Linked DNA regions of Rattus norvegicus. The protein of the gene in region 1 interacts with the protein of each later gene in a biochemical or structural test. Links are inferred from orthologs where the notes say so. Each region holds a gene or a part of one and is shown in the gene's direction. Other genes may lie near its edges.

The links. The genes of interacting proteins can lie anywhere in the genome.
Region 2: the proteins of Nedd4 (region 1) and Pmepa1 form a complex in vitro, tested with the Homo sapiens proteins (2 studies listed by BioGRID, with this or other methods). The link is inferred for Rattus norvegicus from reciprocal best matches to the Homo sapiens genes NEDD4 and PMEPA1.

What each region holds. Positions count from the first base shown.
Region 1 is NC_086026.1:82,337,346-82,342,115, forward strand, and holds part of Nedd4 (E3 ubiquitin-protein ligase NEDD4), read left to right. Parts: intron 1-188; coding exon 189-310; intron 311-401; coding exon 402-472; intron 473-2,663; coding exon 2,664-2,759; intron 2,760-3,051; coding exon 3,052-3,125; intron 3,126-3,476; coding exon 3,477-3,537; intron 3,538-4,470; coding exon 4,471-4,530; intron 4,531-4,770. UniProt on the Homo sapiens protein: E3 ubiquitin-protein ligase which accepts ubiquitin from an E2 ubiquitin-conjugating enzyme in the form of a thioester and then directly transfers the ubiquitin to targeted substrates. Specifically ubiquitinates 'Lys-63' in target proteins.
Region 2 is NC_086021.1:182,436,432-182,441,201, reverse strand, and holds part of Pmepa1 (protein TMEPAI), read left to right. Parts: intron 1-3,057; coding exon 3,058-3,215; intron 3,216-4,770. UniProt on the Homo sapiens protein: Functions as a negative regulator of TGF-beta signaling and thereby probably plays a role in cell proliferation, differentiation, apoptosis, motility, extracellular matrix production and immunosuppression.

The sequences.
Region 1 (4,770 bases):
TATCTGTTTATGTGTTCTTAGGAACTATTTCCACCTTTTAACGGAAGTGGCTATTTCAGACCATTATCAGAGTCACTGGTATTAGGAGAGAAAAGTAGCCACAGGGGAGACTTCATTACCATTTGTCTACATAGACTGTTGCTCTATGAGATACCAAGAGGATCACGTGAGTGTGGTTTGTCTTACAGGGACAATTACACTCTGCAGATAAATCCAAACTCGGGCTTGTGTAATGAAGATCACCTCTCATACTTCAAGTTCATTGGCCGTGTGGCTGGGATGGCGGTTTATCATGGCAAGCTGTTGGATGGTGAGCATTGAGGAGCAGACTTTTTTTTATATGTTTTTTGTTGTTGTTTCTTGGTTAATAGTCACCCTAAAAATATTTTGTTTCTTACAAGGGTTTTTCATCCGCCCCTTTTACAAGATGATGCTTCAGAAACTGATAACACTGCACGACATGGAGTCCGTGGTAGGTCTCTCTCATGCGCCGGAATCTGGAGGATTTAATAGCCAGTGGTTATTTGCAGAATTGACTTAGTGGTGGTCGCACTTGCTGAGTGTGTGCTGTACCACCAAGCTGCATACACAGCCCAATTAATTTATAGTAAGAACAGAAATGAATAAATTTTCATGTGTCAAAATATAGATAGGGGCTAAGGAGATAGCCCAGTGGGTAAGAGCATTTGCTGGGCACCAAACAAAATTTTTAAAAAGTCCCAGGACCTGGGTTTACATCGTGCACCTCATAGAAAGTGGGTTGTGTCTGTGAGTGTCTGAAGCCGCAGCACTGTTGGCAGCAGAGGCTGGACGGTGTCTGGGCTCAGTTCCAGGATCAGCGAGCAGCCCTGTCTCAGCGAGGCAGAGCAGAGAGTGACTGAGCGGGGCCCATATCCACCACTGACTATTCTTGTGCCTCCCTCCATCAGTATCTGTCTGCCATGCACTGCAGCTATTAGTCACTTCTGCTGAATTCCTTTACATTTACATATCTTTGTGTATGCATATAGGCACCCACATTTAGAGATCAGTTTTCTGCTTCCTTCCCTCATGTGGATTCCAGGGATTGATTCTGCTCGTTTTTTTTTTTTTTTTTTTTTTTTTTTTGTTGTTGTTGTTGTTGTTTTTTTTTTTTTTTTTTTTTTTTTTTGGTTTTTTTTTTTTGGTTCTTTTTTTCGGAGCTGGGGACCGAACCCAGGGCCTTGCGCTTCCTAGGCAAGCGCTCTACCACTGAGCTAAATCCCCAACCCCCTGCTCGTTTTTTTTAACATTTATTTATTATGTATACATCATACATTTTCTGCCTTCATGTATGCACCTGCACGCCAGATTATAGATGGTTGTTGGCCACCATGTGGTTGCTGGGAATTGAACTCAGGACCTCTGGAAGAGCAGATAGTGCTCTTAACCTCTGAGCCATCTCTCCAGCCCCTGATTCTGCTCATTAAGTAAGGTGGTACCTGCCTTTACCCACTGAGCCCTCTCTGTCGACAGCTATCTGCTAATGTTCTAAATTTACACTTAGTTATTTTTATTACATTTGTCTGTTTGGGGGAGGGAAGCATTGCTTATACATGGGACCCCTGTGGAGGTCAAAGAACAGTTGGCCGTAGTTGCTTCTCTTGTTCTGTCAGGTGGGTCCCAATACCTGAACTCAGGTCATCATGCTCGGTAACCTCACAAAACAGTGAGGAGTCTTTCCAGACGCCACAAAACAGATAATCTCTTTCATCACAGTTTGAGTTAGACTTATTTTTAATGAATGGCAAATGTTTAAAGCCTCCACTCCAAAGGCAGGGTATTGTGGGGTCTCCTAAAAGGAAACAGAAGCCTAAAGACGAAGTCTTGTGTATGGCCCTGTGTAGTGTGAATACACATGGCTTCCATATCACAAACAATATGATTTTTATTTTTTGTGTATGAGTGTTTTGCCTGCATGTGTGTATGTGTACCTCAGTGGCCAGAAAGCTGTGCTGTGGCTGCTAGCAATCAAACCTTCCGCAATTGCAGCCAGAGCTCTTAACCACTAAGTTGTCTCTCTCTAGGCCCCATGGATTCTTTGTTGTGCTTTTTCTTGTTGTTTGAGACAGTGTCTTATGGAGCACAGGCTGGCCTCCATAAACGCATCATGTAGCCAGCCATGACTTCTGGGTGCTGTGATTATAGGTATAGGTACAGCTGGTTAATGCCTTTCCAGGAATCAAACCCAGGGTTTTACACATGCTAGTAAGTCCTACACCAGTAAGTGAGCCACATTCCACATTCCCCGGCTCCAGCAGGGGTCTTTGGAAACTGTAAGACAAGAGCACATAGTTATTGTGTGGGTTGGTTAGAATAGTATATTTAATTTTAACGTTTAAGTACCGTCCAGTAATGAACTCAGACATTCCACATACAATCTCTCAATCCTAGTGCTGGAAATTCAGGTGTGTGCTCTGTGCCCAACTTTTCATGTTACGGTGGGGATCCTCATGCTTGACTGAGCATCTCCCCAGCCCATCAGTGTAGATGTCATGCATGTTCATGTACCTTTCTATATACAGATTTTTTTAAGTGCTGTTTTAGCTCAGTGGTAGGGTACATGCCTAGAAGATAGAATTCTAGGCTAAGTTCAATTCCTAGCACTGCTTACTCACTTAATTAGAGTGCACTTTTCCTTCTAGGATAGTGAATATTACAGTTCTCTGCGATGGATTCTTGAAAATGACCCGACGGAGCTGGACCTGAGATTTATCATAGATGAAGAGCTTTTTGGACAGGTCTGTGGACTTTCAGATTCTATAAACGTCATTTCCAAAGCCAGTGTTGTCACCTAAGTGTAGTGCACTCCAGTGCACCTGAGACACTTCTCTGTTCAGCTTGTGCATTTATTTTCTCGTGGCAAAAGGTGTCTCTCAGCCAGCATTTGTACTCGCCACTGATGTGTGACTAATATTTAAGCTTTCTTAGCTTTTAACTTTTGAATGGATTTAATCCAAAGCACTAGGCTTCTGGTGTAATTCATGTAGTTTTCTCCCATTTTCCTCATGAAAACACTCATGTTTAATTTAGACACATCAACACGAGCTGAAAACTGGTGGATCGGAGGTTGTGGTCACCAACAAGAACAAAAAGGAGTATATCTAGTGAGTACTTTACTTCTAAGTATTTTCCTAGAAATGATTGAGCTGTTTTTTCTACTTTTCCTCCTCTTCTTCCTGCTTTCTCCTCTTCTTCTTCCTTCTCCCTCTTCTCTCTTCCTTCTCCTTCAGAAGATTTTTCCTTTACTTGCTCTTTCTTCTCCCCCCAAGCCACAATCAGTTTTCTTAAGAAAAGCACACCCTAGTTCTCCCTGTTTCTTTTCCGATTTTTTTGCCTTGGGCACAGCTAGTCTATCTGTCTCTCAGTGGAATAGACATATCTGAAAACATTTTTCATGGTTTGTATGGGGGAAAAAACAGAAAGAAATGTTTTTATTTATTTTTTTCTCCTTTTAGCCTTGTAATCCAGTGGCGATTTGTGAACAGAATCCAGAAGCAAATGGCTGCTTTTAAAGAGGTGGGTACCCCACATTCATTGCTTGCCATACCAGAGCTTCAAAGACCCTTTTTAGCTGTGTTTTTAGGTTGATTTTATGTTTTTCAAATACTGTGCATATGCATGCCCATGGAGGCCTGTGGAGGACTCCCTGGAGTGTCAGTTGGATCCTGATTCTTCCAGCCCCATGACCCCGAAATAAGACTCAGACTCAGCATACATTTACATACATTTACATGGACCCTGGCCTTATAGTTAGGATCTTCTCTGAGGAGAATTAGAACTTAAGAGAACTTTATTCTGCCACGTGGCTGGTTACCTCTGCTCAGGTGCTGTGTGGCAGTCTCACTATATCTTCCTGGGCAAATCTTCCTGCTCTGGCTGTCTTGCACAGTTAGAATCTTACTGGGAAGTGGGGACAGAGGGCACAGTGAGACTAAGCTGGGGACTAGAGGAGCAGAAAAGAGCTATGAGCAAGTAGCTGTGCCTGTGGTGAGAATGAGTGTCTTCAGTCCTGAGTGGGGCTGACGAGGAAAACGCAGGAAATTAACAAAGGTGCAGTTGACTCACGATTGGGGACTTAGGCAGGATTACTGCAGGTCCCAGGCCAGGACAGGATTCAGTAGGTGAAGGAGAGGAGGAGGAGGGAGCAACAGAAGGGGTGAGGCCCGCTGAGGGGGCTCACCTCCTGCAGTGGGCCTGGCCAGGATGGGGGATGGGCTTCTGTCTGCCTCAGTCTCCTCAGTACGTGTAGAAGGAATGAAGAGGGAGGAGGGAGGATTTAACATAGCCACTTTGAGAAATAAAGACAGGACGGCCACATTAAGATCACAGTGAAGGGTTGTTCATGAAAGTATGCTGGCAAGATCTGTGTAGGAGTGAGTGTTCCATCCACAAGATGCTTGAGCGTGCCAAGCCTGCTAACCAGCTTTGGGCACATTCCTTTCCTTCTAGGGATTTTTTGAACTGATACCACAGGATCTGATCAAGATATTCGATGAAAATGAACTAGAGGTAACAACTGTTTGTGCTGTGCTTGGGAATGTAGTTCAGTGTTGAGCAGTCATGCAGGCCCTGAGTTCAGTCCTCAGTGCCACTGGTGTGGAGGCGAGGGCATGGAGGAGTGGGGAGGAAGGGAGAGTATGGCAGTTTGTGGAGAGAAAGTGGGGAGGAGGAGGGAGGGTGTGAAGCCGTGGGCGCCATCCGCAGCACGGTGTAGAAGGGTGTGGTGGTACATACCCATTAGCCAGCACT
Region 2 (4,770 bases), on another chromosome or scaffold:
TATTTTCTGGACACAGGAACCCAGACTTGTCAACCACACACCCTTGCAGGGCCCATTGTCCCCAAGTCCTGTCGCCTTCTGCCAGCCTTGCTGCCTCAGCTCCTGTCTCCCCAGTCTTCCCATGGCCCCAGACCACCCTAGGAGGAGTGTGGCAGCCCATCCAGTCCCTCGGGCCACCAGAGGACAGGAACAAAAGGCCGCCTGCATCTCCCCATTGCTTTCAGGCCTGATGTGGGCCGAAGCCCCAGAGAAAGCCAGAGGGGTGTCTCAGGCCAGGGTGAGGAGCTCACAGAGTTGGGGAGGAGGAGTTGCTGGCCCTTTGGAGAAGTAGGGGCGTTGCACAAAGCAGTCCCTGTGTCCCTTGAATGCACGGCTTTATTGGGTCCCGACAGCCAGACCGGAGTGCCCAGCACATTCAGGTCAAACCATCCAGCCTTGGACCGGCCTCTCCTGGGGAGACAGGAGCATAGCTGCAGTGACCCAGTCTTGGACTTCACCATGGCCCCATGGGCTCTGTGCAGAAGGGTGCCTGAGTCTCCACAAGAAGGGGCCCCTCTTTGAGTCGTGTGTGAGTCTCAACAGAGTCCTCGCAGTTCAACACCCCCACTTGGCTCCTCCAGGGTGAAGGAGGTGAGCCTGACTCAGAAGCACCAAGTATAAACCCGGGCTTGGGTTGGAGCCCTAGTCGTGGGCACTTGGACTTTGTGATACTTCCTTTGTGGTTCTGTTTCTCTTGAGGGGCTTGAGAAAACACTTACGTCAGGAGAAGGGTCAATCTAAGCTTTACCGGACTCACAGGGGTCATTCTGTTGTGGGAGAAGCGTCCTGGGTGCTAAGGTGTCCAGTAGCATAATGGGCCCTGCCTAAGTGTAGTCAGTCATAGCACATGCAGTGGTCCAGTGGTGGGATAGACCTGTGGGGTTCCAGAGACTGGCTGGGGCTGAGGAGTAGCCTGAGACAGAGATGGCAGGGAAAACTCTATGAGCTGCTACCCATCCACACACAGTAAAGTGCCCATCTTGGATGTGTTACCCTGCCCAGAGCAACAAGGAAACCATAGTGGTGGCAGGAGAGAGCTAATCCTGCTTGGGTTTGAGGTTTGGGCCTGTGTTGGCTTCCAACCTCTCCTCAGTTCCTCTCTCTGGTAAACACAGAGCTGAGTCAGCCACTTTGCAACTGAACTTGGTGGCCTCGGGGTCCCTTCCCTCTTGTACAGCAGGGAGTGCTCCCCCAAGGTCTTCCCTCCATGACTGGGGAGGCTCATCCCTGGGCCTCCGCCTCAGGCAGGGCCTTCAGGTTGCCTGCTGTCTCTCTGCTGAATCCAGTGCCCTGCAAGACTCCTGGCACCCTGCCTGTTGCTGGGGGGCTCTACTGGCACCAGCTGCAGCCAGCTGCTAAGCCTCGGCCCATCGGAGTCAGCAAAAGCACCCGCTTAAGCAGTATCAAAATAGCCTTTTCCCTTCCCAGCACCGGAGGGCTTTTCCTCCTTCTAGAGGGGAAATAAAATAAGTCGGAAAACGGGGAGGGGTGTGGAAGGGGCCCAGGGATGGGGCCTCTGAAATAAACGAGAATCCCAACCAGAGCAGCACCAGGAACGTGTCTAAGGCCTTCACTAGAAGGAGCCCATTTGTGTGCTTGTGTGGTGTGTGTTCTTAAATGTTATCTGTGTGGCTAATGGTGTATGTGTGTGTATGTGTGTGAGTGTGTGTATGTGTGTGTGTGTGTGTGTGTGTGTGTGTGTGTGTGAGAGAGAGAGAGAGAGAGAGAGAGAGAGAGAGAGAGAGGAGAGAGAGAGAGAGAGAGACCTTGTGTTTCCTGGGGTGTCTGAGGTGTGTGTGTGTAGCAAGTTTGGCCCATTTTCTGCTATCTTTTTGGGTGTCAGAGTATTGAGGTATTTTGGGGGGCTGCATGTGGGGGTGCTGAGGTGTGTAGGGGTGGTGAGCTGTTTTGAGGAGTGTCAAGACTGTGGAGCATCTGAGATTTAAGAGTGTTGACCCCATCGTGGCCATGTTGGGGCATACAGGATTATAGACCTTACGCTGTTGTTTTAGAGCCCGTAAGAGCGTTGGAAAGTTGATGTAAAGAAGAATATTGGGATACAGGACTATTATTTTGGGGTGTTGGACTGTTGCTTCAGGGTGTTCAGGAGGTTTTCGGCATTAGTGTGTGAGAGTGATGACATAGGAACTTGGCTATTTGGTAGATGAAGAAGGGTTGAGAGCTGAAATATTGGGCTGTTTTTGGGGTGTGTGGAAGGGTTGGGGTGCTGGTGGGGAGTTGGACTATGTAGGAGTATTGAGATAGTCTTTTGGGGAATATACAGGCAGGGTAGGATATTGGTGGCAGGGGATGGGTATGGCTGGTGTGTGTGGGAGAGTTGGGTATGACTGGTGTGTGTGGGAGGGTTGGGTATGGCTGGTGTGTGGGAGGGTTGGGAATGGCTGGTATAGGGGGGAGGGTTGGGAATGGCTGGTATAGGGGGGAGGGTTGGGAATGGCTGGTGTGTGTGGGAGGGGAGGGTTGGGAATGGCTGGTGTAGCGGGGAGGGTTGGGTATGGCTGGTGTGTGGAGGAGGATTCTGTATGGTTGGTGTTGGAGAGGTTGGGGTATGTGGGAGCAGTGGGCTGTTGTTTCGCGGGTGGGAAGGTTGACATATTGCTTGCTGGGATGTGCGAGTATCAGGGCATTGGAGAGCCCTGAACTGGGCTGTAGTATTACATATGCGCACTCATGTGTTGCCTCTGCAGTATGTCCACATCCCACTCCAGCCCCACAGGAGCCCCTCTTCTTCCCACTGTCCCTCTCCAGGCCCCAGAAGTAAAAGGACCCTAGGCACAGGGATTCAAAAACAAGTCCCTTTCTGAGAGCCAGGCCAGGCCTAGCATCTCTGAGGGTCAGACCGAGTCTTCATGAACGTCCATGGTTGGGACCGTGCCGTGTTCCGGACAGAGTCTCTGAGCTGTGTTCTCCCCTGTGCCCGAGTCCTCAGCCTTATGTAGATGGGAGCCTTTGGCTGCTGACCCGAAAGTCTCACGCACGCGCCCCTCTGCCCCACAGCGGAGCTGGAGTTCGTGCAGATCGTGGTCATCGTGGTCGTGATGATGGTGATGGTGGTGATGATCACGTGCCTGCTGAGCCACTACAAGCTGTCAGCCCGCTCCTTCATCAGCCGACACAGCCAGGCCCGGAGGAGAGACGACGGAGGACTGTCCTCGGTAAGCGGGTCCTTGGCCTAGGATTCCGGCTGCTGCGCAGACATGTGCGCAGAACACTCTGACAGACCGCTCACGTCACCACCCCCCATCTGGGCGCTCATGGGAATGGGGATGAGGAAGGGCCCAGAAGCCTGCCGCTTCCTCTAGTCAGAGGAGCAGGAACTGGAGGCGGATAAGGCTCCGTGTGCTCGGAGGTGCAGGAGGCCCAGGAACGCGAAGGTTTGGAGGGAAGCTATGGGTTTGCCCCTCTGAGGGAGAAGTGAGGGTGTGCCTGAGCCTGTGCGCCCAGCACTGCTCCCCAGAAATGGTTCCCAGTGCCTTCCCAGAGGGATCAGGAAGTGTCAGGTATGATTCTGCGGGCTCCCCAGAGGAGCCCCACTGTGTGAGGCGGGGCTGGGTGGGACCTGGCGTGGTCTCCATAGCTGTGGGCAGAGTAGGCACAGCTTTAGGGTGGCAGGTCAGGTCTCCTGAGGCCGTTGAGAAGCCAGATGAGACAGAGTGAAGAGAAGGCAGCTGCTGCTTGACTGGGTGCCCACCAGGACAGAGGTGTGGGAAAGATGCCCCCAGGTCTTAGGGCTGTGACCTAGATGGAAGGAGGTGGCGGTCCCAACCTCTCACCAACACACCACTTGGGCCCGTGTAGTCCAAGTGTCCTGGGAGGCCAGGGAAGCAACCAGACACCGAAGCCTCTCCCACAGCCTGGGCCTCATCTGGTTCCTCAGGTGTGGTGAACCAGCACTGGGCGCCTCCTGGGCAATCCAGGCTTGACATAGTGAGCCAGCCATCTTTGACTGGAAGGCAACCTCATCCATGTGACGCCTCACCCGCTAGCTCTCTGCTGAGCACTCTCTCTGTGCCCAAGCTCCCCTGGCACAAGAGACTGTAGGCAGGACCATCCTAGGACCATCCTAGGACTGGGTGGCAGAAAGTCATACTCAGGCGGGGGCCCCCACGCAGGGGGCTCCCAGCTTTGGGGGAAGCTGTGCATGAGAAGTGCAGGCGAACATTTCTGAGCCTTAGAACTGGAGACCTGACACTCTTAGGAGGGAGGGAGGACCGAAACATAGCCAGCCTTGGGATCAGGGTTCAGTGTCCTGGGGCGGCAAGCATTCCCATGTGTGCCGGTTCCCTTGGTTTTTTTTTTTTTTTTTGTTTGTTTGTTTGGTTTGTTTGTTTGTTTGTTTGTTTGTTTTGGTTCTTTTTTTCGGAGCTGGGGACCGAACCCAGGGCCTTGCGCTTCCTAGGTAAGCGCTCTACCACTGAGCTAAATCCCCAGCCCGCCGGTTCCCTTGTTAACCTGAGTGAGACTGTGTAACTAGTCCTAGCTCATTTATATCCTACCAAGGGCAGTCACCTAGAGTAACTTAATGTACCCAGAGGACTGCTTGATCTCTATGCAAGCAAGCAAGCAAGAGTTACGTGCGCGCGCGCACGCGCGCGCACACACACACACACACACACACACACACACACACACACACACACACACCGAGCAAAGCTGGGAATCCTAAAACTGCCCTCTGTTACTGAGGGACACTCACTGTACCAGAGAGGA